2 linked regions of the Canis lupus familiaris genome follow. The protein of the gene in region 1 interacts with the protein of each later gene in a biochemical or structural test. Links are inferred from orthologs where the notes say so. Each region holds a gene or a part of one and is shown on either strand. Other genes may lie near its edges. The genes, in order: PTX3 and CFH.

Region 1 (16,994 bases):
GCCTGCTCTCCTTAAGCCTCACGAACCAGCCTCTGTTAACTTCAAATTTTTCTTTGGCAGCGTCCTCCCCTCTCTCAGATTTCGAAGAAGTGAAGAGAGTTGGGGCTTTGCTCTGGATTGGGCTTCGGCTTAAGAAAATGTCATGGCTCGTTTGATCTTTTACCCAGACCACTCGAGCTCTCTCCGCGACAGCAATAAGGCCGTTTTGCTTTATCACTCACGTGTCCAATGGAGTAGCTCTTCTAATTTTCTTGAAGACCTTTTCCTTTGTATCTACAACATAGCTAAGAGGCCAATATTTGGCATAAGAGGTCTGGCTTTTGACCTATGTCAGCTTTTGACATGCCTTCCTTACTAAGCTTAATCATGTCTCATTTCTTATTTAAAACAAGAGAGCTGCTACTCATCCTTTCACTTGAACGCTTCGAGGTGTTTGTAGATTAAGTGGCCTAATTTCAATTGTGTTGCATCTGTGGAAATGGGGGGCCCTAGGAGAGGGAGATGGATGGGGAATGGAGGGTCGGTGGGGCAGTCAAAACATACCCATTTACTGTTAAGTTTGCCGCCATCATATACAGGTACAGTTTGGGGTACCCCAAAACAATTAAAATAGTTTCGTTAAAGATCATTGTTCACATTTCGCCATAACAAATATAATAATAATGAAAATATTTGAATTATTGCAAGAATTATGAATACGTGACACAGAGACACAAAGTAAGCAAACGCTGGTGGAAAAATAGTGCCCGTAGCCTTGCTCGATGCAGGGTGGCCACAACCTTCAATTCGCAAAAAATACAACATCTGCAAAGTACAACGAAGTGAAACACAGTAAAACAAACTATGCCTGTGCTTCTCTCAAGTGGAGGCTACTTGGCTGTTTCCCCAGGCCAAGGAGAGAGAAGGGGGCAGGGGGTCAGAAGTCCTGGCCTGTCACTGACTTCTTACTCTCTGCGTGCCGGGGGCGAGCTAACCTCCCAGAACATCCATTTTGACTGTTGTAAAACACAGAAAACTATAATACACCTTGAGTTACTGAGAGGAGTACATTAAATTGGTAGGATTAGATGCTAAAAAAAGAAGTCCTTTATGAATGATACAGTCCTCTGCAAATTGAGGCACGGATACTAACTCATCTGTGTTAAGAAATATTCGCAAAGTGACCTCTGTGTGCCAGATGCTCTGCAAGGCATCGGGGACACGGTGGTGAACAAGATGGCCTTCACGTCCCCGGCGTTTGCGTCGCAGCCAAGGTGGTCCAGAGATCTGCTATGGCAGGGAAGGGAAGAGTCAGAGAAGACTCCTGGCAAGAAACTGAAATCTAAGGACCAGGAATAGTCAGCTCAGAAAGAGTGGGAGTGGTGAGGGAAGAACAGCCAGGTGAAGGACGCAGCGTATACGTAAAGACTCAGCTCCCTGAGCGGGGAGTCCCTGCCCATCCCTGGACCATATGATTGTGCAAGGCGCTGGAGTTAGAGGAGTTAGAGAGACCCTATGACAACAGGCAGTGATCAGGGGCCTGGTTTGCAAATGGTCTCCTACGTCCTTCCCTGAGCATCTGGGCAGCCACAGAAGGGCTGTACCAGGTGTCTGACGGGACCTCTTTGAATGTCACACATGGTGCCACCCTCACTCTTGGACCCCATCGTCTTCAGTGGGGAGACCCCAAGTCTTTTCTGTCTTCCTTCCTAGAAGTGAGTCTCCTGCTGGTTTCATTTGCCTTTCTGTCCAGCCTTTAGCTCCTGGGAAATAAATTGAATTAAGTTACTCTCCCCAGATCCCCCTTGTTTTGAACCTGCCTTTCCCAAAACTAGGCTTTGCTCTTGCTTGCAGGCTGCAGATAAAATGGCACGCCAGCTGCCTCCTTAATCAAGTCAAGTTTGGCCTTTTGGTCACCCTTCCCCGTCACCTGTATCATCTGGTCCCCAGGCTCTAGCCGTGGTAGGCAGAAGAATGACTCCTCAAAGATGTATATACGCCGTAACCCCCAGAACCTGTGACCATGTTGCCTTACATGGCAAAAAGGACTTTGTAGGTATGATTAAGTTAAAGGTCTTGAGATGGAGAGATAATCCTGGATCTTCTGGATGGCACCAAGGGGGCCTTAGAGGAGGGAGGGAGGAGGCTCAGAGTCAGAGAAGGAGACGTGATGAGAAAAGCAGAGGCGAGAGGGAGGCAGGACAGGAGCTGAGCTGGGCAGGCAGGGAAAAGGGCAAGGAACCAGAGTCTCCCCCAGCACCTCCGGAGGAATGCAGCCCTGCTGACCCACTGTGGACTTCCCATCTCAAGAACTGGAGGATAACAGATTGGTACTATCTTAAACCACTAGGTTTGTGGTCATTTGTTTCAGCAGGGATGGAAAACAAACATCCCACCCCTTCCGCACCCTTCACTCCCAGCCTCCGCTTAGATGATCCAACGATCCTTCAACTCTACTCCTTGTCCAAACTCTGCTACGGTTTTGCTCGAACTTTCTGTCCTTAATTCTTTCCCAAACGGATTCCTCCATTTGGAATTCATTCTCTAACTTCGCTCTGGAATTCATTCTCTAACTTCTACTAGCATCTGATTCTAGCTAGTACTTTGTTCCACGTCTTCAATCTCTTGTCATTAAATTTAATAGTCCCCAGTTGCCAAATCTAAGGTCAGTCCCGATCTCCAGGCTCCTTGACTTCTCTAGATCTTGGTCCTGTGGGGCCACTTTACACCCTTTGGAGCCCACGACACATCTTTTCCCCGGTTCCCCATGGTCTCCGATCTCTTTGATCTCTTCTGGTTATTGACTTATTTTTGAATTCAACAACTTTTCATTGAACAACTACTGTGTGTCCGGCACTACGGTAGGGAGAGCATGTAAATACGCAGACACAGCTCCCATGCCCCTCAAGGCGTCCAGTGTGCCCCGGGAAAGACAGGCGTGCAAAAATAATGACGATACGCTGCCCTAAGGGCAAAAGCAAAAGCACACGCACATCAGGTAACAGCTGTCCCCAGTTCCCTGCCCAGCCTCTGGCCTAGCTACTCCGAGTGTGGTCCCTGAAGCAGCAGGAAAAGTGTCACCTGAGAACCTGTAAAGAGGCAGAGTCTGGGGCCCCTTCCCAGGCCTCCTGAATTGAAATCTCTAGGGGTAGGGTCAGGTCTCTCTCCAGTGTCCAGGACCCCCAGCCCTGTCTCCGCTCCCCAAGGCCCTGTGCCCCATGCTCCACCTGGAACAAACCCTCCCGCTCTTCAAGGTCTGGCCGCGATGCCACTTCTGTTGTGAATCTTCTTGACACTTGTTTCTCCCTAAGGTAGAACTCACTGCCCTACCTTCTGCTTCTACCGTTTGCAAACCACTTATCACCATTTATTCTGTTTGGTTTTGTGACTGCTCATGGAGAGCTACCGCCAAGGTCTGCGATACAGAAGGAGAAAAGAAGTCATTCCTCCCGTCGGGCCCTTGCAGCCACGGCAGCCTACCGCGGTTAATTGTGCATTCGACCCTTCTCGCCGGCTCTTCTCTGCATGGTTCGAGGGTTGACTTCAAATGTTCCAGTACTCACCTTCACGTTCACTGATTTTTTTTAAGTGGTGGGTACTGACTTTATCAGGAAATGAAGCAGAGTTACAACCACGGTCGATAGAACCTTGGGCTGACCTTTAATCTTCACTCGTACGTACCTTCCATGATCCATTCCTACTCTCCCCTTCCTGGCGGCCTCGAGTCTCTCTCTGAGTATCCTCGGGAGTCAGCAGAAGCACCAGGCAGACGGTGTGTGTCCTAAACACAGAACCTCAGGACTTTTGTTTGGATGCTGGTGGTAGAGGTAGAAGAGGTGTGCTGCCTAGAGAGCCCCTTGGACCAGTTTGGATCCCACGAGGAGAAAGCTTGCAGAAAATGGAAGCCAACGCCAGAAACCAAATCCGAGAAATAGAGAGTAGGAAAAGTGTTCGGTTCGTATTATTTGAGCTCCTGGATCGACCACCTCACCTGAAGGTATTTTTTCCCCATCACATTAGCTAGTAAATTCCTTTATATTATTTAAACCAGCACTCAGTTGGATGTTCTGTGATGGGTAATCACAATAATCCTAATAATTATAATATTTTATTTGATCCCAAAAAACCAACAACTTGCTATCTAGAAAACGAGCCTTTGCTCTCACCCTAGGCTGCTTTCCCCACGTGCAGCTCATTTCCTCGGCCCAGAAACCACAGATTCCTGCGCTTCATGGCCACACTCAACATCAATTAAAGCTTTTCCGCCATAGTGACAGGTTTTACCTTTGTTCTGTTTTCAGTACTGTACCTGTTATGGTTAATTTTATGTGTCGACCTCACTGGGTCATTGAGCGCCCACACATTTGCTTGAACACTATTCTGGGTGTGTTTGTGAGAGTGTTTCCAGATGAGACTGGCATGTAAATTGGTAGAATGGGTAAAGCAGATTGCCCTCCCCAGTGTGGGTGGGCCTCGTCTAAGCTGCTCAGGGCCTGAACGAGACTGGCCGAGCAGGGACACTGGTCTGCTCCTGCCTCTGGGCTGTGGCTTACACCATCAGCCCTCCGGTTCTGAAGCTTTCACGCCTGGACCAAAGCTCACACCATTGATCCCCCTCATCCTCAGGCCTTCGGACTCAGATGGGAATTACACCCCGTGTTCCCTGGGTCTCAGCTTACAAATGGCATCTTGTGGGTCTTCTCAGCTTGATGATCACGTAAGCAAAGTCCGTTTGCTCACGATCTATGTGTCCATCCTATCGGCTCTGCTTCTCTGGGGACCACAGTGCCATCCCCTCCTCGCTTTCACGGTTCTAGGAAAAGTGAATGAGTGCTTTCACGTAAAGGCGAGTGTGTTTAGGCCCACGAGGGAGGAAACCCGAAGCACACCTGCTGTTCTCCTGCCTGGTTGTGCGGACCGTCATGCATGTGATGTACTTTTTACCTCGGGCTGCTTTCTCTTCGCAGCTACGTGCAAAAGCCGTAGGAGATGGTACTGCTCTGGTTGCTCCAGCTGAGGCATCAAGGCCAGGAGTTCCATCAGGTGCCTGTTGATCGGCTGAGGCTGCTTTTCATACACAGCAGGTAACACCCTCAACAGCATGGCATTGCCTGTTGAGGGAACAAAACCAGGAATGACGAGCATTAGCTCACAAGCAGTAGAAACACGTTCACTGTCAATGCAATAACCCTTGCACTTACTCATTAAACAGCGTGGAGTGATGGCCAAGGCTTCTGCTAAAAATAACACAGTATCTTATTTTGAAAAATCACTACAGCGGGACTCAAACAGATTCCATAAAAGGGAATATCATATTTATTTATTATCTAATGAAAAAGTTTTCCTGACTAATGCTCCACGGGGAAAGAGGAACACTTGACAGTAACCACACCACACCCTGAAGAAGGAAACAGTTCTGATAAAGAATTCCTGACGAGAAACAACATTTGGATGCTGTTTAAATGAAAACTATGCAGTGTCATAAGCATGAAACGGAACCAAAAAGGAAAAAAAAGGCGCAGAGGAATGTTTTCACGTTCCTGAGAGATATGGAGGCCTGGTTCAGACAGCTGACATGTGGAAATGCAGCCTTATTTTTATGAATAGTTACAAAAAAAAGTAGCAATGAAAATTTAAATCCCCAATTTCTGTACTATTTTCAAGGGAAGTTGAGAGTCCGCTTGTTTGTCACACTTGATTTGCCTCAAAGACATGTATGGACAACTGGATTTAAGATGGCAAAGTCTCAAGAAGAGATATTGCATAAGCTACAGGGACTTATCAGCAAACAGCATATGGGAAACATCTGCTTATCACTTTATGGTATGGATTTTTTTTCTCAAAATCCTCTCAAGTACTTAAATGTCTCAGGAGAATTGGTTTCTAGGGATTTCTTGAACAAAAAAAAAAGTTCGTGCGTCTATTACTTTCAATTTGGCTTCGTATATAGATGAAAGACACAGGAGGAATCAACTGAGCAGCAGTGATTACACGTATGTGACCTTTCTCGAATGGGGGGACATGTCCATATATAAAGGACATTTAGATAGGAGAATAGAACAAAAGGGGCAGCCCGGGTGGCTCAGCGGTTTAGGGCCAGCTTCAGCCCAGGGCGTGATCCTGGAGACCCGGGATCGAGTCCCGCATCGGGCTCCCTGCGTGGAGCCTGCTTTTCCCTCTGCCTCTCTCTCTCTCTCTCTCTCTCTCTGTCTCTTATGAATAAATAAATAAAATTTTAAAAAAAGAGAGAGAGAGAGAGAATAGAAGAAAAAGGCTACCATTTTCAGAATATCCGGGACTAAAATTAATAGAAGGGTAACTCTGGATCAGATTGAATGAGTGTGGGTGATGATACATAATGAGAATTGCTTTTCCCGCACGTGGTTCACAGAATTAGTCTCCTGCAGATTTCCATATACCCATGGAATGCGAAGTATTAGAAATATTCAGGGTTTTCTTTTTAAAAAATGTCGAGTCCATCACAAAATATTGCTTGATTTTGTTTTCTATCTCTCTGAACCAAGAGCTTTTCCTTAAAGGATCAGGAATTTTTAATGTAATGCCCAGTCTGTACAGGGTACAATAGACCTTAGAACTTAATTATGTAGACATACTGATCAATCTCTAAAAAAGTTCATGATAAATCAGACTCTCTTTGCAACTGAAGACAGGAAACTGGTGTAAGGCTTTTGATACAATACCCATTAAATACCCTGAAAGCCTTGAAGGAAAAACTCCAGATTAGTCATTTTCAGCTGACTTGCATTTTGATCACATGATGCAAAAATAAATGCATAAAAATTTTTTCTGCGTTAGAAACTGATGAAGACACTTTGGTATAGACGTCCTGTAAATTCAGAGAAAAAAGAGAAATCCTATAAATTCCATGTATGAACTAATATTTTTTAAATTATGGAATATTTGAAGCCATTAGGCAAAAGTAGGCAATAAAGAATAAGGTCGTGCCCTCCAAAGCCACTTGGTGCCAGAATCACTTCCTATCCCACTCATTTCCTTTTTCTCCCCTAGGGCAACCACCATCCTAAAGTCGGTGTTTATCATCTTCATGAATGTTTTTTTACATTTCAGTTGCACGTGTATAGACCAACAAACATTTTATAGTGTTGTTTTGCAGGCTTTAAAATTTTTTGTCAGTGGTATTCATACTATGCAAATGTCTTTGCAATATTTAATTTTTTTTTACATTCAGCACTGTGTTGAAGTTTTAGCTCCAGGAAGCTCTCCATCGCTTACTCTCACAGTTGTATGGCATTCTATCGTGTAAGCAGGCAACAATTTATTCATACACTCTATGGTTGAAAGACATGATGATGATGATGATGATGATGATGCTTAGCTTTTACCAATAGTGCTGTAGGATGCTGTAATTTTTATACCTATTTCTTGACTCAGGAATGGGAGATCTTCCCGAGGGCACTGTTTTAGCACTGGATTGCTACAAAACTATGACCCCTACCTCCCTTTATTTGGGAGGTGGGGTGGCTAGCATCAGCTCTCAGGCTTACAGGGTTGGTCTTGGATCCCCACCCCCCACACCTCTTTCTTTGGCTCCTGGAGGTTTCCCTTACATTATCTGTAGCTCATCTGTACATTTAAAGTTTTCATTATAGTGGGATCACTGGGTGGCTCAGCGGTTGAGCATCTGGCTTTGGCCCAGGGCGTGACCCCGGGTCGGAGGATCGAGTCCTGTATCGGGCTGCCTGCATGGAGCCTGCTTCTCCCTCCGCCTGTCTCTGTCGTCTCTCTCATGTATAAATAAATAAATAAATAAAATCTTTAAAAATTAAAAAGTCGGCACTTGAGATGAGCACTGGGTGTTATTCTGTACGTTGACAAATTGAACACAAGTAAAATTATTTAAAAAGGAACAAACAAAATAAATAAAGTAAAACCCTATTTAATTATTGCAAAAAAAATTTTTAAAAGTCATCATAATGTAAATGCATTCCTAGGTGTTTTGTGCAGGAGAGTTTTCAGCTTATTTGGGCCTTCACATTTCGAAGGAAGCAGGAATCCCTAAACTTATTTTATTATTTATTTATTTAAATTTATTTATATTATTTATTTATATTTATTTATTTGTTTATTAATTAATTTATTTATTTACTTATTTTTACTCCTGCACTGTTGGTGGGAATGTGACCTGGTGCAGTCACTCTGGAAACCTGCGTGGAGGTTCCTCCTAAACTTACTTTAGGAGCGTGATCTCCAGTGGGATGATACAATTTCCACCTCACAGCAGCTCAGGAAGAGCAACGTTCCTAAAGTCAGCGCTTCCCTCTCCCCCGGTGCCGTCCTCCTCGAGGTTTGCGGGTGGGTGAGCCCCTCCCTGCGGGGAGCCTGCGAGCGGGCTCGCGCCTGCAGGGGGACCCAGATGCTGGGGCTGGGCTGGGGCTGGGGCTGGGGCTGGGCTGGGGCTGGGCCCGGGCCCGCCCCCAGCACCCGCATCCTCCCGCGCACGCCGGTCCCCCTGGGCATCAGCTCGCAGCAGCCCCGCTCCGCCCCGGGAGGCCGCGCGCGGGAAGGGGCGAGGCTCCCCCAAGGGCTGCGGCGCGGGAGCGGGGCGCAGAGGGGGCACGGCCAGGCCTGCTCCCCGCCCCCCTCCAGCCCTCGTGGGGACGGTCCCGGCCCAGTTTCCCCACCTCTTTCCCCTCTGACCCTCCTCCCGCTAATCTGGCTGCAGCATAGCCCCCGGCGGGCTGCTCTTGTGCAACGTGCCGGCCCGGGTCGCCCGCCCCCGCGCCCCCGCCCGCCCCCGCCCCGCTTCGGGGGGGCCCCGGGACGGCGCTGACCCCCGGCTCCCCGCAGGCGCTGCCGGCGCTTATTAGGGGCGCGGGGCCGGCCGCCGGTGTCCGCCGGTGTCCGCCCGGTGCCCGGTGCCCGCCCGCTCCCTCCCCTCGCGTCCCCCGGCGGCGGCGATGCGTCTCCCCGCGGTGCTGCTGTGCGCGCTCTGCTCCGCGCTGTCGCCGGAGGGCCCGGGGGACTACGAGCTCATGTACGTGGACCTGGACAACGAGATCGACCACGGCCTGCAGCCCACGGAGGACCGTAAGTCGGGGGGGGCTCGGGGTCACCTCGGCCGCGCCCCAGGGCTCCGCGGGGCCCACGAGGACGGGCTGCTGGGGAGGTCGGGGGGCGGCGGAGCTCGCAGCAGGAGCCCTGGGGAGCCTCGGGGTCACCTCGGCCGCGCACCCCAAAGGCTCCCGCCGGGTCCCCACGAGGACGAGCTGCTGGGGAGGTCGGGGGAGGTGTCGCAGCAGGAGCCCGGGGGCCGGGGGGGCTCGGGGTCACCTCGGCCGCGCACCCCAAAGGCTCCCGCCGGGTCCCCACGAGGACGGGCTGCTGGGGAGGTCGGGGGGGTCGCAGCAGGAGCCCGGGGTCGGGGGGGCTCGGGGTCACCTGGGCCGCGCCCCAGGGCTCCGCGGGTCCCACGAGGCCCACGAGGACGGCTGCGAGGACCGGCGGGCGGTGACGCGCGTGTCCCCGCCGCAGCCCCGCCGTGCGCCTGCCGCCCGGAGCTCAGCCGCTGGGACAAGCTGTTCATCATGCTGGAGGACTGGCGCGCGCGGGAGGGCACAATGCTGCAGGCCGCCGACGCCGTGCTCCGGGCAGAGCTGCGCTCGCTGCGCGCCGAGCTGGGCCGCCTGGGGACGCCGTGCGCGCCGCCGACCGAGGGCCCGGAGCCGGGGCGCGCCCTGGGCGCGGTGCTGGAGGAGCTGCGGCGCACGCGGGCCGACCTCCGCGCCGTGCGGGGCTGGGCGGCCGGGCGCTGGCTGCCGGCAGGTGAGCACGGGGAGCGCGCGGCCCGGGGGGCGGGGGGCACCTGCGCGCACCTGCGCTCACCTGCGAGCACCTGCGCGCACCTGCGCACGCCCCGCGCGGCGCCAAAACGCGCTGCAGAAGGCGGAGCCCGGGGCCGCTCCGTCGGGGCTCTCCACTCCCTCCAGGTTTCGGGGGGCTCTGGTCCCCGCGCTATTTCGGGGCCCAGCCTGCGTTTTAGGGAACCTTTCCTGGGCCGCCCCCCCCTCCCCTGCCTCCTCCCTGCGTGCGGGTTCTGAGCCTGAGGCTTGAGACTGAACCTGACCCCTGAAGGGCTTAGCGGGATTGCCTCCCCCCAAAAGGGGCCTGTGGGATTGACCAGCCCCGAGGGGGCCCCTCAAGTCCCGGAGGTTCGGGGGAGCCCTACATGCGCAGTGAGATGGGCTGCTGCGGGAGCACACTGGGAACCCTCCTCTCCCCAGGGACTTGCAGGGATGGGGGTGCAAACAGGAGAGAGGCGGTTCAAACCAGATAGGACTTCTTGAAGTCGCCCCCCCTCCTCCCCTGCCATCCTACAGGGATCTCCAAAAAACACATGTGGGCCCGAAATAACACGTTTGAAAGGTGGGTCAAAGAAAGGAGATTTGGAGCCAAAGAACACTCCTTTGTGGAGGCCAAAATCTCTAAGAGATAGCGGCGCAGGAATCCTTTGTTGGGCCATATGGGAAAATCAGGGACTTAGGTATGAAAACAACAGCTTTCCTGTGCCTGAGAACGTCGGGAACAGAGGAGGATGACTTACAAGCAGCGCCGCCCTCCTTAGAGTGGCCATAAAGCAGCTCAGCTGTTGGGGGGCAAGGATCCTAATGGTAAGCATGTGGGGGAGCATGTTTCATTTAAAGTTGCAGAAACCATAGCAGGGTGTCAGTCGTTCCTAAGTATTGGAGGACTTTATCAATGCTGAGCAGATTTTCTGGACTATTCAGTACAGTTTCGGAGACTGGAAAAGCATAAAACCAAATACACGATTAGCTCCTCAGTGTAAGTGACAAGGAGACAAAACATAATTCTGTGGCTATTCTAGTGGGTGACATTTCTTGTCTTTGGCAAAGCATATTAAAGTGATTGTACCTATGATGCACCCCCCCTCCCCAAACTGAAGAATTAACGCCAGTTTTCACTCACCTCTGTACACTGGTTAGAGCAGACAGGGATGTATTTCTGAATTCTAGAATGCTAATTCCTTATTCCATCCAATAGTACTTCTACCCACATGGTTTTATTTCCCCTCTCTTGGTTTCCTGCCAGCTTGGTTCCTCGGGGATTCCTAATTATTCTGTTGTCGGCCTCCTAAGAACCTGGTTTTAATTTTGTTTGGTCTTTGATAATATAATCAGAAAAACCTATTAGTTAAAAGCCATTTCATGAGAGAGTTTCTGACATTTTAAAGAGATATCAAGAGCTTCAATCACTGGTCCCCACCAAAAAAAAAAAAAAAAAAAAAAAGCCACAAAAAAACCTGTGAACACGAAATTCCACTCCAGTAACTCACACAGCCAGTGCAGCCTGCAGGGGAGGCTGAGTCTCTGAGAGGCCATCAAGGAATGCTTTGGAATGCAATCCTGCCTGCCTGGGTTTATTTAAACAGGAAATCAGTTAATTAGACTGCAGTAGGCCCCCTCTTGAACACTCCTTTACTGGGACTTTACAGAGAATAATATCTCAAATGGTTATGCATATGGTGATCTTTTGCTCCGTGATCTTTGTTTCACTTAATTAACACAGAAAAAAAAAAAAAAAGAAAGTACTGATTTCATTTGAAGAAAGATTGTCTCATTAAGAATGAATCTTAAAAATCTTCAAAAATTCAAATTCTTCAGTGAAAAAGAGAATACCAAAAACGTGACGGGACCAATTTGTGCTTTAGTATTGTAGGTGCTTTGATACGATTTTTTGAAACTCAATATTTCTTTGACTATTTCTAGGTCCACAGCTATTTGGTTTTTTTTAGGGCCGAGCGTAGCCCCCCAGTCACTTGCAGGCATTTAGCGTAGTTGAACACGCTCTGCACGGACGCTGGGTGCCTCCAAGGTCTGTATATTCACTCACCGGTTGGTCTTTAAATGCTCTGGACGCCTGCATGCCAGAGCTATTTTATAATAAATCTTTAGTTTGTTATAAAGTGAATAGCTAGCCCTCGTTTAGATTAAAAAAAAAAAAAACAATTCTTTTTCTCATCTCTCCTACGCCTATGAGGTTATCACAAAGCAGAGCTCACCTATGAAAGGCTTTGGCACATTTCCCAGAGACACCTAGAAGGGCTTCCGTTCAGCACCTCTAGCTCCCTGACCAGACAGGTGACCTGGAGCTGAACTGAGGTGGGACTTTACTGAGCTCCCAGCCACCCACGGCTGAATGTCTCCTTCTCACTGCTCTTTAGCACAAATATGTTCTCGGCCAGGCCCTTTAGGAGAGCTCACTCTTCCTTAAAGGTTTTCTGTTGCTGCCTCCATAGTATTTATAAGCATGTGGACAAACGGAGCGTTTCTAAGCATACCCGTGGCCTCACAGTTCTTCTCCCGAGCACTACGTTCTTGTTGCTTCGAGGCGGACGATCGGTAGCAGGATGGGAGGGGCCGTTACGGAAAATAGGAAAGCCCGGAGAGATTTGGGGGCTCATCAAAACCTGCAGGCTTGCTGCTAGTAAAACAGACGGAATCCCAGCGCTCCTAGCCAAGTGCAGGGGTTCCCCTCCTGGGAAGCAGGGCCGGGTGCAGGCCAAGGGCACGGCCTCTGCAGCCGCAACGCCGCAGTTCAAAGCCCCCGTTTTACCACTTACCAGCTGGAAAGTGGAACCAAGTTGCTTCATGCTCTATGCCTCAGTTCTCTCATCTGTAGAATGGGAATATTAAGACCATCTCTTAGGGTCCAGAAATAGGATTAAAACCATCCAGGGCGGTAAGAACGGTGTCTGGGACCTAGGGAGTACCGGCCATCGTGATCGCTCGTTGCTGCTTCCGAAGGTAGCCTTCGACAGACTTTGCAGTTCACAGGTGTCTGGAGCACGTGGTATTTTACGATTCCAGCAACAATAGCACTGCCCTGGAGTTCCATTTAAAAACACGTCGACAGCAGGTAAAGGGTGAGCTAGGTCCATCGAATTTCAGAGGTGTTTTTGTCGTTGTTCTATGGAAGTTTGGTGAAGTCAAGAAGAGGGAAACAAGTCTGGCTCTAAGTTCTTGGAAACTACAGCGTCACTGAAGGTAACACGTGCAGGCCAAGGGCACGGCCTTGGCCATTTAACATTTTCATTAAAAAAAAGTAGCAACAGACCATCAGCTAATTGCGAGGGAAAGTAGTTATTAAAACATGGTTTCCACCATTTTTTGAGTTGGGACAATTTGGCTACTCTGCCCGCCTCCCTTCCACGTGGGGCCTTCACGGAGTAGGCCTGACAGTTGACCTTATTCCTCTTTCCTTTGCTCTGGAGGTCACACGGGAGGTCACACGCGAAGCTGCTCGGGTCGTGGTGGGCCACAGCATAGGATTTTCAGCTGTAGTCGTTCGAGTGCCGGGCGGAGACCCCTAAATGCTGGGATGACTTGTGAACGGACGCCCCTTTCTCTCATACCCTTGTCACGTTCTTGCTCCTCTAGGTTGTGAAACCGCCATCTTATTCCCAATGCGGTCCAGGAGGATTTTTGGAAGCGTGCATCCAGTGACGCCCATGAAGCTTGAGTCTTTCAGTGCCTGCATCTGGGTCAAAGCCACAGATGTTTTAAACAAAACCGTCCTGTTCTCCTATGGCACCAAGAGAAACCCGTACGAGATCCAGTTGTACCTCAGCTATCAGTCCGTGGTGCTCGTGGTGGGCGGAGAGCACAACAAGCTGGTTGCCAACGCCGCGGTTCCCCTGGGAAAGTGGACCCGCCTGTGTGGCACCTGGGAGTCCAGGAGAGGCCGCGTGTCCTTGTGGGTGGACGGTGAGCCGGTGGCTGCCGCGCTGGAGATGGCCACGGGTCACCTGGTCCCCGAGGGGGGCATCCTGCAGATTGGCCAAGAAAAGAACGGCTGCTGTGTGGGTGGCGGCTTCGACGAAGCGCTAGCCTTTTCTGGAAGGCTCACAGGCTTCAATATCTGGGATCGTGTTCTCGGCAACGAAGAGATAAGAGAGTCGGGAGGAGCGGAGTCTTGTCACATCCGGGGCAATGTGGTTGGGTGGGGAGTCACCGAGGTCCAGCCCCATGGAGGAGCCCAGTATGTCTCCTGAGTGTTGTGAAGCTCGACTCGAAGCCAAAGAAAGAACCTCACGTTTCAGACAGTTGGGAAGGTCTGAAAACCTCAGCGCGTGTTAAGAACACTTGAGACTAATGAAGGGGAGAGTTGAGATCAATCTTTATTTATCTGGGCAAAATTACCGAATAAACAGCTGAAGAGAAGGCATTGGGGAATGCTTGAGGGGATGTTGTTTCTAGACTTCACGCCACGGTGCTTTGCGATTAGTGCTGTGTCTCTGTCAGATAAACTCGCAAATAATTAAAAAGGACTGCGTCGTGGAACAGAAGGGCAATTGTTTCACTTTTCTTTGGTTAATTTTGTTTTGGCCAGAGATGACTTTTACGTTGGAAGGAACAGAAAATAACATTGGCTGTCCATTATTCACTGTTAACTGGCATGTACCTTATGATTACAAAATACGATGATGAAACATATTTATACTACGATGTGACTTAACAAATGCAAATGTAGTTTATGTGTCATAATCGAATGTCACTTTTTTGAGAAGATAGTTATATAAGTTATATTATAAAATGGTTTTGTATTAATTTTATTAAGACTATTTTTGTAAAGCTCTACTGTAAATAAAATATTTTATAAAACTACCCCATGTCATCTAATTTTATTTTATTTTATTTTATTTTATTTTATTTTTTAAGTTTTTTTTTGTTTTTTTTTGTTTTTTTTTAATTTATGATAGTCACAGAGAGAGAGAGGCAGAGACATAGGCAGAGGGAGAAGCAGGCTCCATGCACCGGGAGCCCAATGTGGGATTCGATCCCTGGTCTCCAGGTTCGCGCCCTGGGCCAAAGGCAGGCGCCAAACCGCTGCGCCACCCAGGGATCCCGTCATCTAATTTTAAATTTAAAAGATGTTTTGGAGCAAATCCGCACTCTTGAAGTAGGAGCTAGTTCCCAGAAAACAGTTCTAGTTGACATTGGTAGGAACAGACTATAGAGTTGTCGTAAGCTTTGGCTTCCTAGGAGTCATAAGCAAGAAATCTGATCTCGGCTAAGTCAGTTCATCTCTCTGGATTTTAGTTTTCTCAAATGAGAAATCAAGGAATTGAGGAAATAATGATGTCTAAGTCCCTTTGACCACATATGACACTCTGCCCTGTGGAACACAGAAACACACATAAATTATCAGAGTTCCCCAAATATCCGTGGTGAGGGCCATTCCTGGGAAGATCAAAGAATCTGGAAAAACAATGATTCCTGCCCTTAAAGCGTACCCCATTCTCTTACTCGTGCATGAAGAAAGGACGGTCAAGGTCCTTCACCCTACAGATGGGGAGGTCACTCTCCGCCACACTAGTGTTCTCCTGTAAATGCTTTTTGGGGCGAAGAGAAGACCATCCCAAAGCTGCTCCTGAACATCAGCAGCAAATGTAGAGCCACAGTGATGATGTGTTCGCCTAAGGACGGGTCTGGACAACCACGGGTCACCTCTGGTTTGTGAGATTTGGAGCATAGGGCCGGGACTAGTTATCAAACCACATTTTATAACTGACTAGTTGAGTGTCCTTAGGCAAGGTACTTAACTCCTCTGGGTCTTCTCAGTAAAACAAGGGGATTGGTCTCACTGCCTTTAGCCATAAGATGTCATGATTCTAGGAATCTTTGAGGATGCTCGTGATAGCAGTCGAGCTTCATCCCGCTTGTGAGACCCGCAAAATCAGCCTGATGGATCTCTAGGAAGAGTGTACACAGTTATGAGGCCGAGGGCCAGTCTCGGGCCCTTGGAGATTACACCGTGGCCAGACGTAAATCCTTCTTTAGCCATTATGTCCATGACTGGAATGCTTAACTGGAAGAAGAAACGCCGGACCCGACCATAAACAGAGAGTCAGGCATGCTTTCAATTTCCACATCTCAGCAGGAATTAGATCAGCTCAAGAGATCCTAGACGATGCAGGCCAAAATGCATGCAAACGCCTACGCCGACGGAGCTAAACCTGGGGGCGTTTTTAGTTTTTCTATGGGAATTACACATGGAGGGTAAAGAAGCAGCAGAGAGCAGAAAACCAAGCAATTGCTGGGTTACAGAAGCAGGAATTTCATCTGCTACAGCAGTAACCCTGGGTAAGTGTTCCAGGGGACTTCCGACCGTCTCCTAAGACCTATTTTCCCTCTTTTCCAAAGGAACAGAATTTAGGTTCACATGGTGGGTGTGTCCACTCGGGTGAAGTCTCTGTTTCCCAGCATCAGTGACAGCGAGGTGCGGCCAGGGGCCGACGCCCCGGCTGATGCTGGAATACACTGAATGGGATTCTCTCTCCCTCCTTCCTTCTGCCTGATTGGAATAGGGCAATGACGGCAGGAGTTCTGGCAACCTCGGCGGCGGGCGGTCCTGCCACCACACGGAAGGCGCCTGGGCTCCCGGGTGCGGAGCTGCCTCGCCAGGCCTGGGCTGCCTCTTCCTGCGCTGCTTTAACAGGGAGAAAACGGCACTTCTGTCACTGTAAATCCACCAGTGAGGGCCCCTGGGGGGCTCAGCCGTTGGGCATCTGCCTCCGGCTCAGGCCATGACCCCGGGGTCCCGGGATCGAGTCCCGCGTCGGGCTCCCTGCATGGAGCCTGCTTCTCCCTCTGCCTGGGTCTCTGCCTCTCTCTGTGTGTCTCTCATGAGTAAACAAAATATTTTTTAAAAAATCCACTAGTGTTTGATCACCTAATATGATCCAGGAGAACAATTTTTTTAAAAAATTGAAAAAACACTTTATCTCCTCAAAGCATTCAGAGACTACACTTAGAAAATACATTTTACAGGGATCCCTGGGTGGCGCAGCGGTTTGGCGCCTGCCTTTGGCCCAGGGCGCGATCCTGGAGACCCAGGATCGAATCCCACGTCGGGCTCCTGGTGCATGGAGCCTGCTTCTCCCTCTGCCTCTCTCTCTCTCTCTCTCTCTCTGTGACTATCATAAATAAATAAAAATTAAAAAAAAAGAAAATACA
Region 2 (15,343 bases), on another chromosome or scaffold:
TCAATACCTAGAAGTGCAATTGCTGGATCATAGGGTAGTTCTATTTTTAACTTTTTGAGGAACTTCCATACTGTTTTCCAGAGTGACTGCACCAGCTTGCATTCCCACCAGCAGTGCAAAAAGGTTTCCCTTTCTCTGTATCCTCACCAGTACCTGTTGTTTCTCACGGTTTGTTTTGGTTTGATTTGGTTTGAATTTTTGTTTGTTTGTTTTGTTTTGTTTTGTTTGCCATTCTGACAGGTATAAGGTGGTATCTCATTGTGGTTTTGCTTAGTATTTCCCTAATGATGAGTGATGTTGAACATCTTTTCATGTATCTGTTGGCTATCTGTATATCTTCTTTGGAAAATTGTCTATTCATATCTTCTTCCATTTTTAATTGGATTATTCATTTTTCAGGTGTTGAGTTTTATAAGTTCTTTCTATATTTTGGATACTAACCCTTTATCAGATATGCCATTTGCAAATAGCTTCTCCTATTCTGTAGGTTGCCTTTTCATTTTGTTTATTTTTCCTTCACTGTGCAGAAGCTTTTTATTTTGATATAGTCCCAATAGTTTATTTTTGCTTTTGTTTTCCTTGCCTTAGGAGACATATCTAGAAAGAATATGATAGAAAGATATGATGACAGCTGATAATATATGAATATTTTTGGTTTCAAGTTCTTGCTCAGGTTTCCAGCTGGACACACATCAGAGTGGTAGCTTTAGGAACCATTTGTGCACCTTCTCTGTGTTATGATTGTAACTCTTGTGTTATCATTTCTTTTCAAATAATACTGCCAAATACGGCAACCAGTACATAAAATTAAATTTCAAAATTAATGAAACATGGAATTATTCTTTCTTTTTTTTTCAGGGCTTCCGTGTGCACCACCAGCATATATGGTTACACATGGTATTCTAATTCAACAATCAGACAGTTACCAATATGGAGAAGAAGTAATGTATAAATGTGATGATGGTTTTGCAATTGATGGACCTGCATCTGTAAAATGTTTAGGAGGAAAATGGTCTAATCCACCAAAATGCATAAGTATAGTGTATTTAATTTTACTCTAAGGTTGATAACTATTTTTTTTTAAGATTTTATTTATTTATTCATTAGAGACAGAGAGAGAGGCAGAGACACAGGCAGAGGGAGAAGCAGGCTCTCTGTAGGAGCCCAATGTGGGACTCAATCCCGAGACCCTGGGATCACGAGCTGAGTTAAAGGCAGACGCTCAACCACTGAGCCACCCAGGCACCCCAATTCTTAATTCAGACATCAGTGGTACAAATATGAAACTAGGCAGTAATTCTAGAATTTAACAAGGTATCTCTGGGAAGTTGTAGATTTTGGTAGAGAATGAATAATCCTAGTAGTAATAAAAGTGTGACTGCATGAGCCTAAATTACTTCACTTTCATTTCACTTCGTGTGCACATTTGACATTCTCTGATAGGAATCCTCAGACTTCTCATCTCTGTTCTTTTTTTTTTTTTTAAAGATTTTATTTATTTATTTATTCATGAGAGACAAAGAGAGACAGAGACAGAGACTAGCAGAGACACAGGCAGAGGGAGAAGCAGGCTCCATGTAGGGAGCCTGATGTGGGACTCGATCCCAGACTCCAGGATCACGCCCTGAGCCAATGGCAGGCGCTAAACTGCTGAGCCACCCAGGGATCTCCCTCATCTCTGTTCTTGTATCACAGCTGCTCCTTGCTAATCAATCATTATTCAATTTATTGTTAGTTTATCAGTTATCCCCTTATAAATATATAGTTTTCTAAGATATTTGACATAATTAAAAGTAACAGATTTTGACAGAAGCAGAAAATACAAATACATACATAATGTAGGTGGCTTGTGTGGGCAAAAAAAGAATTTGAGTGGAAGAAATATGATATCAAGACTTACATGTATCCATAGCTTTATAGGGTTTCCATATCATCACCCCCATGTTTTACTTTTTTTTCCCCATGTTTTACTTTTGATAAGCATAGTACTATTCAATGTAATTCACTCAAAAGACTTCTAACACATTTCTTTTTCAACTAATAAGAAAAATTGTGTACAATGCTCATTGGTTTGATGTGTACTTATCATCCTACATTATAGTTATTGGTCATTATGTATTTTAAAAGATTCACTGAACAAGTACGTGTTCTTTTTCTTTCAGAAACAGACTGTTTTAACTTACCCAGCTTTGGTAATGCCATACCCATAGGCCCGAAGAAAGTATTATATAGGTCAGAAGAAAAAGTGACTTATAGATGTCCAACATATTACCATATGGATGGACCCAATTTTGTACAGTGTCTTAATGGCCAATGGATAGGAAGTCCAGTATGCAAAGGTATTTTAATATTTTAGAATCTATTTATCAAAATGTCTTAAGTAATATAATATAGAATTCCCACTAACACCATTTAAAAAAACAGACATAGATTATTTTTTTAGGCCAGGTCAAAGAAGGTTTATGCTTTAACATAAAGGGATAAAATTGTGTACTCAGTGGTTCATCTTTTTTTTTTTTTTTTCTTTTTTTTTTTTTTGCCTAGTGGTTCTAGCCTAGCCCAGTGGTTCTCAAATTGAGATCTCTGGAATAGCAGCATTAGTGTCTTCTGGGAAATTGTTAGAAATGCAAATGTAAATTTACAAGCTCACTCAGACCTGTTGAGTCAAAAACTCTGGGGATGCAACCCTGAAAAGGTCTTAACAATTCCCAAGAGATTTGATATGTACTCCAGTTTAGGAACCATAGCTATAGCCTATTATACTTAATATCCTCCTGAACCTCACTGGTTAGTTATAAATTACTCATTGAAATGTCCTTAAGCATTTGCAAAAAAAAAAAAAAAAAATCATTAAAGAGTGTTTTTATAAACTGTACATTTATATTTCTGTTATTTTTCCACATCATCTGTTTGGATCCTCAGTTAATCATCCTCTTCCAACTATGGCATTCTTCAAAGTGTGTTAATTCTTCATTTGTTATCTAAGGAAGTGCCTACTATGTTTATTTTTCTAAGGGCCTAAAATTATATTCATAAACACGATGATTACAAGACAAAATCTGATATCAAATAATCTTATTATTAGGATTTTCTCTTTTTAAAGGTTTTATTTATTTATTTATTTATTTATGAGAGACACAGAGAGAAAGAAGCAGAGACATAGGTAGAGGGAGAAGCAGGTTCCGTGTAGGGAGCCTGATGTGAGACTCAATCCTGGAACTCCAGGATCACTCCCTGAGCCAAAGGCAGATCCTCAACCTCTGAGCTACCCAGGTGTCCCATGATTTTCATTCTGAATTTATATAATTTATAATATTGATTTTACTAAAAATGGGAAATGTCCAGAAAAACTCTCCTTTTCATAGAAGCTTAAATCTTATCAGAGGATATTGTTTTATCTTTTCTTCAATCTTATATGTAAACTTCTTAAAATTGGCACTCTTTCATAATAGATTAACTGTTGATCTTAAATTCCCCTTGAGATATATTTGGAATCCCATTGTTGATTTGCTACTCAAAATGATCATTAAATTAGAGATGCTTCTTTTTTTTCTTCCCATTAAGATATGTCCTGCGAGAGTCCACCCAAAGTGAAAAATGCTATTGTACTAAACGAGAGGTCTAGGTATCTACCTGGTTGGAGTGTTCATTATGAATGCATCAAACCTTTTGACCTGTTTGGAGAAGCAGAAGTGACATGTTTAAATGGGACCTGGACAAACCCACCTCAATGTGGAGGTAAAGTATCTTATTTCTCCTTAAATTTTAAAGAATATATTAAGGACTAATAATGGCATCATTTTTTTATCTCAAATAAAACGATCGTGCTTAAAATCCAATCTTTTCTTTTTGTGGACTACATAAGTGATATTATATATTTATTTTACGAAAGATTTAGCCAGATTAGGGAAGTTGGAATCATGGAAAATTCTCTCTCTCTCTCTCTCTTTTTTTTTGAAGAGAGAGTGAGTGTGAGTATGAGCAGTAGGGGGTAGGGGGGTAGAGAGAGGGAGAGAGAATCTTTAGCAGATTCCATGCTAAGGGCAGAACCTGACGTGGGACTCAATCCCATGACCCTGAGGTCATGACCTGAGCCAAAATCCAGAGTTTGTCGCTCAACCACCTGAGCCACCTAGGCAACCAGAAAATTCTCTATCTTAAGCATTATGACACTCAATTATTTCAATGTATTAAAATGCTAAGAGGGGGACCTGGGTTGAGCATCCAACTCTTGATTTTGCCTCAGGTCATGATCTTAGGGTTGTGGCATGGAGCCCCATGACAGGCTCCATGCTCAGTTAGGAATCTACTTGTCCCTCTTCCTCTGCTCCTCCCCTTCCTTCTCTAAAATAAATAAATAAATCTGTTTTTAAAAATGATACGCTGAGGACATTTGACAGTCCTATGAAATTTCACTTTGAGACACACAGTGAGTACCTGGGGCATGATCATAGAATGTTATGTAAATTTGGGCTTCTTCAGCATGTGGATTATATAATGGTGGGTTACCAGCTGAGTTCAACAAGGAAACTCAACAAGGGAGTTAGTGTAGATAATAAAAAAAAGTCTGAGAACTTGGTCATAGCACACTCCAGTATTTAAGAGTTTAAGAAATAAGAGGATCCAACAAAGGAGATATTATAGCCACTTGTTTTTCTTTTTTTTTTTTTTTAACTTTATTTATTCAGAGAGAGAGAGAGACAGGCAGAGGGAGAAGCAGGCTCCATGCAGGAAGCCCGATGTGGGACTCGATCCCGGGTCCCCAGGATCACACCCCGGGCTGCAAGCAGCGCTAGACCACTGCACCATCGGGGCTGCCCGCCACTTGTTTTTCAAATCAACTTTTGCTTGGCATATATAATTTTCCAATCTTTTACTTTGAGCCCACCTATATTTTCATGTTTGAAGTGAGTTTCTTTTAGTTGCCATAGGTTTAGCTCTTGTTTATGTGTCCACTTTGCCATTTTCAGCCTTTTAACTGAAGTATTTAAACCATTTACACTTAATGTGATTATTGATAGATTAGGGGTTGTGTCTGCCATTTTATTATTTGTCTTGAATAGACGTCTTTATTTCTCACTCACATTTCTTTCTTTGCCATCCTTGTGGATTTTTGGAACATTTAAAAATAATTTTATTTTGACATGTTTATGTTGTTTCAGAGCATATCTCTTTGTAGCTTTATCTGTGGTTGCTCAAGGTATTAGGATGCACATATGTAGCTTGTTACACCCCCTGGTTTTGACATTTTACCACTTAAAGTGAAATGAGGAAACCTTACTTCCACTTAGGCCCATTTACCCTCCCCACATTTTATTTTATTTTTCACATATTTATTTTTTGAGAGAAATAGAGAGTGAGAGGGGAGTGGTGGGGACGATGTGTGTGGGGGGGTGGATCTTAAGCAGCCTCCATGCCCAGCTTAGAGCCCAATAAAGGAGGCTCTATTGGGACAATACAGGGAGGGCTTGATGTCCCAACCCTGAGATCATGACCTGAGCTGAAGTCTAAAGTGGCTGCTCATCTGACCAACTGAGCAATCCAGGTGCCCTTACCCTGTCCACATTTCAAACATAAATGTCTTAAGCATTTTTTCTACATATATTGAGCACCATATCAAATGATGTAATGTTGCGCAAACATCAAACCTAATGAACTCATTAGGAAAAAGAGAGTCTATTATATTTACCCTTATTTTTTCAGTCCTTTGCTTTTCTTCCTTCATGAAGTCTCTCAGTCCTTGTTCTGTTATCTTTTCCCTGCTTTTTGAAGAACTCCTTTCACAATTCTTTAAAGATCTGCTGGAGATAAATATCTTTTGTCTCAGAATATCCTCTTTTCTCCCTTAAGTCCTAAAGGATAGTATCACTGGATATAGCATTCAGGGGTAACAGTTCTTTTCTTCTAGTATTTGAAAAATCTTGTCACTTCTTTCTTTCTGGCTTGATGATTACAGAGGTGAGAGCCCCTCTGACACTTGAATCCGTTTTCCCTTATAAGTTTGCTTCATTTCTGTGTAGCTGCTTTTGAGATTTTTTTCATTTTCTTTAGTTTTCCTCAGTTTGATTACAATGTATCTCAGGATGAATTTCTTTGGGTTTGTCTTGTTTGGCTTTTTCAATATGAATGTTTATGCCTTGTGGCCAATTTAGGAAATTTTAGTCCTTTTTTTTTTTTTTTGGAAGTTTTTTGTTGTGTTTTGTTTTCAGTCTATTTTCAAAGTGAGTAATTTGTATTCTATATTATTCAAGTTGATTTATCCTTCCATCATCTGTAAACCATGATAGAGCCTATCTAGCAAAGGTTTTTTGTTTTTTTTTTTTAATTCCATTACTACATTTTTTGGTTCTATAATTCCCACTGGATTTTCAGTCAAATAATTCCAATATCTGTTTCATATCAGTGTTGTGATCTGTTGATTATCTTTCTCTTGAGATTTTCCTGGTCCTCGGTATGATGAGTGATTTTTTATTGTGTTCTAGACATTTGGTGTGTTACGTTTTAGACTCTGGATTTTATTGAAATCTCTTATTTATCAGGCCTCCATTATTGCAGAGAGTGCAAGTCCAGGCTTTCCACTTGGCCTCCACTGACACCATGGAAAGTGGAGAGATATCTTGTTCCCTGACTGTGGATAGAAGTCTAGGTGCCACACTTGGCCTCCATTGATCACTGTTGATCTCTGATCAACATGGGAAGAGGGTTGGTCAAGGTTTCTCTTCTATGATGATTTTTGGGAGTAATTCAAGTATTGTAAAAAATACATATATATTTCTGTCTTGCTATAATACTCCTTTCCTGAGCCTTTGGCTAAAGAGAGAAGGCAACTCTTGGGACTTTTCTTTTTTCTTTTTGGCCTGAACTTGATATCATTTCTGGGTTCCAGTGCCCAGGCCAGGCTCCATAGAAGGCAAAATGAAAACCCAAACAACTCACTGCTGTAGAAATCCTTGAATAGGGGCAGCCCGTGTGGCTCAGTGGTTTAGTGCTGCCTTCAGCCCAGGGCCTGATTCTGGAGACCCGGGATCAAGTCCCACGTCTGGCTCCCTGTATGGAGCCTGCTTGTGTCTCTGCCTTTCTCTCTCTCTCTCATGAATAAATGAATAAAGTCTTTAAGGAAAAAAAGAAAGAAATCCTTGAATAATCTCTTATGTTGGTTTTCATAATATGTTCAGGATTTTTAGTGACACTTAGTAGAAGGAATAAGCAGAAAGGTTTTTTGGGTTTTTTAAAAGATTTTATTTGTTTATTCATGAGAGAGAGAGAGAGAGAGAGAGAGAGAGGCAGAGACACAGGCAGAGGGAGAAGCAGGCTCTATGCAGGGAACCTGATGTGGGACTTGATCCCTGGTCTCCAGTATCACACCCTGGGCTGAAGGTGGTGCTAAACTGCTGAGCCACCTGGGCTGCCCTGATGATCCTTTTGCAATAAAAATGAAAATCAATAAAGAATGACTAGAGATCCAATAGACACTGCAGTATGTTGTATGTATTAAGAAGGTTTGTTTATATTAACTATCCATCTGTCCTTCATTTATTCAATAGGAAAAATATTTTTAATACCTTAATACTGTAAAGCAGACAGTTTGTTAATGCTTTATGTGGTGTGCTTTCCTGTAGGATAAAAGGAAAGGCTTAAAAGTTTGATTCTCAGTTTAAGTGATTAAAATGTCTTCAGTGAATCATTTCTGTCAGCAGAAGTCACAAGTCTTGATATTGCATATTGTGCTATATTTTTATTTGCTTTATTTTACCCTGTTTTTCTTTAGTCTTTCAATAAATCAAATAAATATTTTGTTTAGAATCTAAAGGAAAATGTGGGCCTCCTCCACCTATTGACAATGGAGACATTACTTCATTCCCATTATCAGCATATGCTCCAGAATCAACAGTAGAGTACAAATGCCAGTCCTTGTATGCACTTCAGGGAAACAGGATTGTAAGATGCAGAAATGGACAGTGGACAAAACCACCAAAATGCTTAGGTAAATATTTTAATATTCTCATGGATCCTGGGAAAATCAGTATAATGAGTAAGATGTCTTACTGTTATTAATAGAATGTTCATTGATTAACAAACAACCATTTGTTGAATACGTGACTACCAAACATTAATATGTGAAGAAATAAAGTTGGAAAAAAACTCCTATTCAAGCAACAAAAGATCCTTTACTGAAAGGACTCTGGATTTCTTCATATTATAATTGACATTATGAATCTTTGAGTATAAAATTATCACACCTTAAGTGTGGTACATCATTTTACATCATTGATCATTTAAAATGATTTAAATCGATGCAATGGATTTTCAGTGAATTGGGTTTGGAAAAGATTTTAAAAACAAAGCCCTGGGCCAGTGTAGAAGATTCTACTTGAGAATCTAAAGTTCTATGGAAAATATTTGTTTACTACTCGATGTTATATTCTTTTTTTTCACCTTCAGATGCCTGTGTTGTATCAGAAGACATCATGAGAAGAAATAACATACGATTTCGATGGTCTTCTGAGACAAAACTGTATTCTCAAACAAGGGATACTGTTGAGTTTGAATGTATCCCTGGATATCATTCAAAGACAAACAATCAAGTATTCCGAGCAGTCTGTCATGAAGGGAAAATGACATATCCTGTTTGTGTATAGGTTATGGTTAAGATGCAGTTTTATAATTAAAGTATATACATTTACTGAGAATTTTTATTATCAGTCCAATTCTCAGTTTATTTTGTCAAGTATTGTGTAACTCATTTATATTCATAAATCAGAATTTGTATTAAATATGATGTGGATGATGTAATTATAATCAGAGGAATGAATAAATCACTTCTTAAAAGCACCTCATTAAAACTTGGCAAGCCAAAATGCTTTGTGTCCTATTCATAAAATATCTATGGCAAGAGATTAGGTCACTCCAGTGTCTACTTCTATCCATCTTTCCCTCTAACTTTCTCAAAACGTCTTCCATAACTTCTGAGTCTGCCTGAGACTCTCCATTTCAAAGGAAATGGGAGAAAATGCTTTTCACCATTTTCAAGATAATTTCATTTCAAAAACATGTGAAAACCTAACTATGCCATACCTTATTAATAATACGATATAAGGGGATCCCTGGGTGGCGCAGCGGTTTGGCGCCTGCCTTTGGCCCAGGGCGCGATCCTGGAGACCCGGGATCGAATCCCACATCAGGCTCCCGGTGCATGGAGCCTGCTTCTCCCTCTGCCTATGTCTCTGCCTCTCTCTCTCTCTGTGACTATCATGGATAAATAAAAATTAAAAAAAAAAAAAAAAAAAAAAAAAAAAAAGATTAATAATACGATATAAGTAGTTATTATTTAGTTTTGCTTATCTGTCAATAGATACATATACCCAAAAAATGATTATAAATGCAAGATTTTCTACAAGATGGCTATATAGCACACATAAAAATTCAAACATATCATAAAGAGAAATTAGAATCTAATTGGGTGCATAACTGTCATAACATGAAACGGGACAAAAAATCTGATTTCAAGTATAAACACCCACACAATATTTTGAACACTATAAACATATGTTTATAGAATCTATAAACAGTATAGAATCTATAAACAGAATCTATAAACAGTATAAGCATAACTGTTTATAAAACGAGAATTGGGGCAGCCCTGGTGGCGCAGCGGTTTGGCGCCGCTTGCAGCCCAGGGCGTGATCCTGGAGACCTGGGATCGAGTCCCGCATCGGGCTCCCTGCGTGGTGCCTGCTTCTCCCTCTGCCTGTATCTCTGCCTCTCTCTCTCTCTAGCTGTGTCTCTACGAATAAATAAATAAAATCTTTAAAAAAAAAAAATAAAAATAAAACGAGAATTGTCAGGAAATACAATAAAATATTTACAATAACTACAGTTGAATTTAAAGGTGCTAGAAGTAAGAGTTGGTGTTTAAGCCCTTAGTAGTCACCTGTATTGAGAAGACTGGGTGGCTCAGCGGTTGAGTGTCTGCCTTCCACTCGGGGCATGATCCCAGGTCCCCAGATAGAGTCTGCATAGGGCTCCCTCTGGGGAGCCTGCTTCTCCCTCTGTCTGTGTCTCTGCCTCTCTTTGTCTCTCATGAATGAATAAAAAATAAAATAAAAAGTCACCTGTTTTTTCCAGTTTTTCTATCTTTAGTATTATCACCTTTAAACCACAATAAAGGTGGTTATTTTGATGGGGTGCCTGGCTGGCTCAGTCAATGGAGTGTGCTCATGACCTCAGGGTCATGAATTTGAGCTCCATGTTGAGTATAGAGATTACTTAAATATGTAAATACATCTTTTTAAAAATAAAACAAAATAAAGATATATTAAAAGTAGGATGATACATGTTGAGAGCTATGAGGAACTCTTTGGTAACGATCTTCAAACCTAATGACATCTTCATGAGTTTGTTGCAATAGAGGGTTTTGGAAACATTCAGCCACAAGAGTCTGAAATATGATTTTTGCGTGCATACATTTCAAACAGCATAATTAGTTAAATTCAGCTGACTGTAAACATTTTTAAATTCTACAAAAATATGAAAACTTTAAGGTGAAAATAAAGATAAAATTAAAGTAAAAATATTTTAAGGTGATAACTTGTTACTTCGTTTTGCATCAAATCAAGTTGCATTCTTAGAATGAGAAACCTGGCTGTTTCTAATAGAGTTGATTTATTTAAATCTGAATCACAAGTGATAGCCAGTTTTCTCATGTTTAAAAGAACATTGTCACAATTGTCAAGTTATCTTTGCTATTAATATTGACATACATACTGTTTCTCCTATAATCAACATATTCTATAAGCAATCATTTTCATTGTTGGCTGCAAAATAGTGATTTTTAAGATGAATTTTATTCTTTTTCTGCAGTTATTGTCATTCTTGTGTAAAGATTAAGTGTTAATTGTCCAATTTCTTAAATCCTTTACCTAAAACTATTTGGTAAATCTTTATTTTTGCTCTTTAATTTCCAATTTTGGAGTAGGACTTGATGATAGTGACTTTCTGTGATGACTTTAAAGATTTTTTCTTTTGTATTATTTTTATTATTTTTTAAGATTTTATTTATTTATTCATGACAGACACAGAAAATGAAAGATAGAGAGGCAGAGACACAAGCAGAGGGATTAGCAGGCTCCATGCAGGGAGCCCAACCTGGGACTCAATCCCAGGTCTCCAGGATCACACCCTGGGCTGAAGGCGGTGCTCAACCGCTGGGCCACTGGGGCTGCCCATCTTTTTTTTTTTAATGTTCTATCAGAAAGGATTCATGAATTCTTGCTTATTCAATTTGTCACAAACAATTATAGTCATTATTCTTTGAAGCTCAAATTATCCCAAATTTGACTAGTGAGTGCCTCTTGAAACTGGCTCCTGATTGTTTTGTTATACCTACGAGTCTTTGAGTGTTTCTTTTCTTTTTAGCACAACAAAATGTTCAGGTATACTTCAGGTATAATGTTCAGGTTCACCGGTATACTTCCCTGACCAACACCCAAATCATCTTTCCAAAAGTCTGATTCTTTTTATTGGGAAATAGTGTTTAGAACACAAAAACTGTGCTATTAGTACTAGATGGGAACATTCAATACTGTTGAAATGTCTTCAAATCTTGTCAGAAATCTGAAATAGAAATGAAATTTAAAATTCATTTGCTCTTATTGGTTCTTACAATTTTTTGCTTGTCAGAAATCTGAAATAGAAATGAAATTTAAAATTCATTTGCTCTTATTGGTTCTTACAATTCAGGGTTATAAGTAATACAGGGTTAAGAAACTTTAAAATGGCCAGCCTGGGTGGCTCAGTGGTTTAGAGCCACCTTCAGCCCAGGGCATGATCCTGTAGACCTGATCAAGTCCCACGTCAGGCTCCCTGCGAGGAGCCTGCTTTTCCCCTCTGCCTGTGTCTCTGCCTGTCTCTCTCTCTGTCTCTCATGAATAAATAAAACTTTTTTAAGATTGATTTATTCATGAGAGACAGAGAGAGAGAGGCAGAGACACAGGCAGCGGGAGAAGCAGGCTCCATGCACCGGGAGCCCGACGCAGGACTCGATCCAGGGACTCCAGGATTGTGCCCTAGGCCAAAGGCAGGCACCAAACCACTGAACCACCCAGGGATCCCCAAAAAGAAACCTTTAAATACATTTTTTGTCATTTCTCTTTATTCATATATTCTTATATTTAAATATTTTTAAAAATAATACTAGGGGCTCCTGTGCTTAAGCGTCTGCCTTCGGCTCAGGTCATGATCCCAGACAGGGTCCTGGGATACAACCCCTGTCGGGCTCCTTGCCCAGTGGAGCCCTCTCCCTCTGTTTATCTCCCCCGGCTTGTGTGCTCTCTCTCTCTCTGTCAAATAAATAAATAAATAAAATCTTTACAAAAATAATATTAAAAGCATAATGCAAACATTACTATCAGCAGGTAAACTACTGAATAAAGGTTAAAAATGTCTTTGCATTTATTTTGTCCTTAGGATGTTGGACTCAAAAATGACTTGAAATAATCCTTACCTCTCGCTGGCTCACTTACCAAATTAATAAAATTTTACATTTACTTGCATTAGCATTGTTAGGTTTTTTCCAAAATGAACGGCAGAGAAATAAAAAAATAAACAAACAAACAAACAGCAGAGCCCGGCAGTAGGTTGGAGGGTGCTTTAAAGGGGAGCGCTCCCGGGAGAGGTGGCCCGAGTTGGGGAAGTCACCTGTGGTTTGGGGGGGGGGGGAGGGTTTAGGCCTTATTGGTTCCAGTTGGACCGGGTGGGTCTCCTGTCAATTAGGCACGTCCCTAGGTGATTGGCTGGGGCTGGGGATGGTCCAGACGATGGGGGGTGGTCCCTGGCTGGAAAGTCCTGGATGGAAAGTTTCGGTTCCGTCTAGGATTCGATTTATTGGAGATGATGTGGTGGTCTTGGCTGCTTTGGCGGGAAGACCAGCCATTGACCCAATTTGAGATGTCCTGCTATTTTGGGTTGGGCTCAGGCAGCCCAACAAGCATTTTTTTTTCAATTTTAGATTTCACTTCTTCCTCTTTTAAGCTAAACTTTTTTTAAAATATGAAAAATACATTTTTAAGAAGATTGTGCTTATTTGTTTGATAAAGAGAGACAGAGAAGGGGGAGAGACAGAGGGAGAGGAAGAGTGAGAAACTACAGCCGCCTGAGCTGAGCTTGAACACTGATGTGGGTGGGTCTCCAGATCACAACCATGAGATCATGACTTGAGCTGAAACCAATAGTCAGATGCTTCACTGACTGAGCCACCTAGATGCCCCAAACATCTACCTATTTTAAAAGTCAAAGTAACATGAGAAGTATGCAGAGTAGTCTTCCTTCCATCATATCTGTTCCCTCATTTAATAAAGTTATATTTGTATTAGTTTCTGACATCCTTTCAGTGTTCATTAATCTTTCTTTAAAAAAAAAGATTTTATTTATTCATGAGAGACACAGAGAGAGGCACAGACACAGGCAGAGGGAGAAGCAGGCTCCATGCAGGGATCACACCCTGGACTGAAGGCGGCGCTAAACTGCTGAGCCACAGAGGCTGCCCTAATCTTTCTTTTAATAGCGAAGGAAGATTACTTAACACATTTATCTGGACTTTGCTTTCATATTTATTTTTAGTATTTATTTCTAATATTCCCCTGAACTGCCTTCCTCAGCTCCCTGGACAGAGGCTGCCTCAGTAGCTGTTCAGCCATCTACCTAGTCAACAGCACAGTCTGGCATCACAACCCCTCCCTAATGTGGCTGGGTTGGGGACCCATAGGGAGAAAGCTCTGCGGCTTTGTCCTCCCCTGGGCTCCTTTGACTGGCCTTGTGGCTGGGATGCTTCAGAATAAAGGTCCAGTGGGTCAGAAGTATCGGAGGAGCCCAACCTGGGGCTGGCCCCAGTGGGATGAGGAGCCCTTCTATGATGGTGGTGGGCAGACACCGTGGAAGGCCTCATCTTTGGGCAGCTAATGTGGATTTTTTTTCAGGGTAACTGTGTCATCCAGTCACACAATTAGGATTTTTTTTTTCTTGGTGAATGGACATCCTGACCTTGACTTTTTATATGGAAAATTTAATTTAGTATAAGGGCCAGGACCCCACGTGTGCACAGCAGCCCCTCTCAGGGAAACCCAATTTCTCACCTCGGTGGGAGGCATTTTAAATCTATTCCTGGAAAATTGCAAAGTGCTATGTAACATATCTCATACCTTACCTAAATAGTTTCTAATTGAAACCCTATGAGATGCATGTTACATCCACATCTTTCAGAGATGAAAGTGTTTCAGAAAGAATAAGCTGTTGGCCAGTGATCACATTGATGAAGTTTTGAAATATGGGGGAGGTCTGGAGCAGATGACCAAGAAAGAATTCTTGAGACAGCTTTGGTGCAAAATGGTGTTTTATTGAACCTTGGGGACAGGATCCGTGGGCAGGAAGAGCTGCTGCCCCGGGCCTCTGAGGGGTGGCTGATTATATACCCAGGAGTTGGGGGAAATAAGCAAAAGGGAGATTTCAAAAGGATGTTCCTGTGCTAAGGAGGACCTACAGGGTAGGCCTTGCTGTTGTCAAGTTAAAGATTGATTTCCCCTCGAGGAAGGCATTAACATTGAGACAATTAGAAACTTCCTAAGAATGTCACACGTCTCCCACCCTGGGCTGGGGCGGGGGTGGGGGTGGGGTCCGTTTGTGGGATGCCAGCTGTGCTTTGTCCTCGGCTAGCCCTATTCCCCCGATCAACATTGCTAGGGAGAAGGCAAACCACATTCTTCTTTAAAGATTTGATGTGCTTATGGGTCTCTTGAGAGACACACAGAGGCAGAGACCCAGGCAGAGGGAGAAGCAAGCTCAATGTGAGAATTCCAGGACCCCGGGATCACAACCCGAGCCCAAGGCAGCTGCTCCACCCCTGAGTCCCAAGTTGGGCTCCCGGTGCATGGAGCCTGCTTCTCCCTCTGCCTGGGTCTCTGCCTCTCTCTCTCTCTCTCTCTCTCTCTCTCTCTGTATGACTATCATAAATGAATAAAAATTTAAAAAAAAGAAAAATTTATCTTAAACGTGGCCCCAAAAATCTTAAAATAGATGTGAAGACCCGCAGTTTGCTCCTAATAGCATGAGGGGTAAACCTGGGGCGCCGGCGGGTTCTGTTATTGTTATTACCATCCCATGTAAATTAAAGGAGAAAATCCTGAGACCTCTAGCATGCAACAAAACGTAAACACTTCAATAAATAAAAACCCCTAAAGAAAATTGTTTTGCCCAAGATCGCGAATCCGAGAAACCACCAAGGAGCCGACACCGATGCAAACACGAGGGTTTATTTACAAGCTCGAGCTTGGGTCCAAGTGCACCCGACACA

What was found.
Region 2: the proteins of PTX3 (region 1) and CFH form a complex in vitro, tested with the Homo sapiens proteins (3 studies listed by IntAct, with this or other methods). The link is inferred for Canis lupus familiaris from reciprocal best matches to the Homo sapiens genes PTX3 and CFH.

Annotation. Positions count from the first base shown.
Region 1 is NC_049244.1:51,498,753-51,515,746, forward strand, and holds PTX3 (pentraxin-related protein PTX3), read left to right. Parts: upstream 1-8,831; 5' UTR 8,832-8,918; coding exon 8,919-9,048; intron 9,049-9,492; coding exon 9,493-9,783; intron 9,784-13,415; coding exon 13,416-14,029; 3' UTR 14,030-14,642; downstream 14,643-16,994. Other genes in the region: VEPH1 (ventricular zone-expressed PH domain-containing protein homolog 1), read right to left, coding at 4,924-5,090.
Region 2 is NC_049259.1:3,456,677-3,472,019, reverse strand, and holds the end of CFH (complement factor H), read left to right. Parts: intron 1-858; coding exon 859-1,035; intron 1,036-2,162; coding exon 2,163-2,339; intron 2,340-3,564; coding exon 3,565-3,738; intron 3,739-7,801; coding exon 7,802-7,984; intron 7,985-8,442; coding exon 8,443-8,639; 3' UTR 8,640-8,858; downstream 8,859-15,343. UniProt on the Homo sapiens protein: Glycoprotein that plays an essential role in maintaining a well-balanced immune response by modulating complement activation.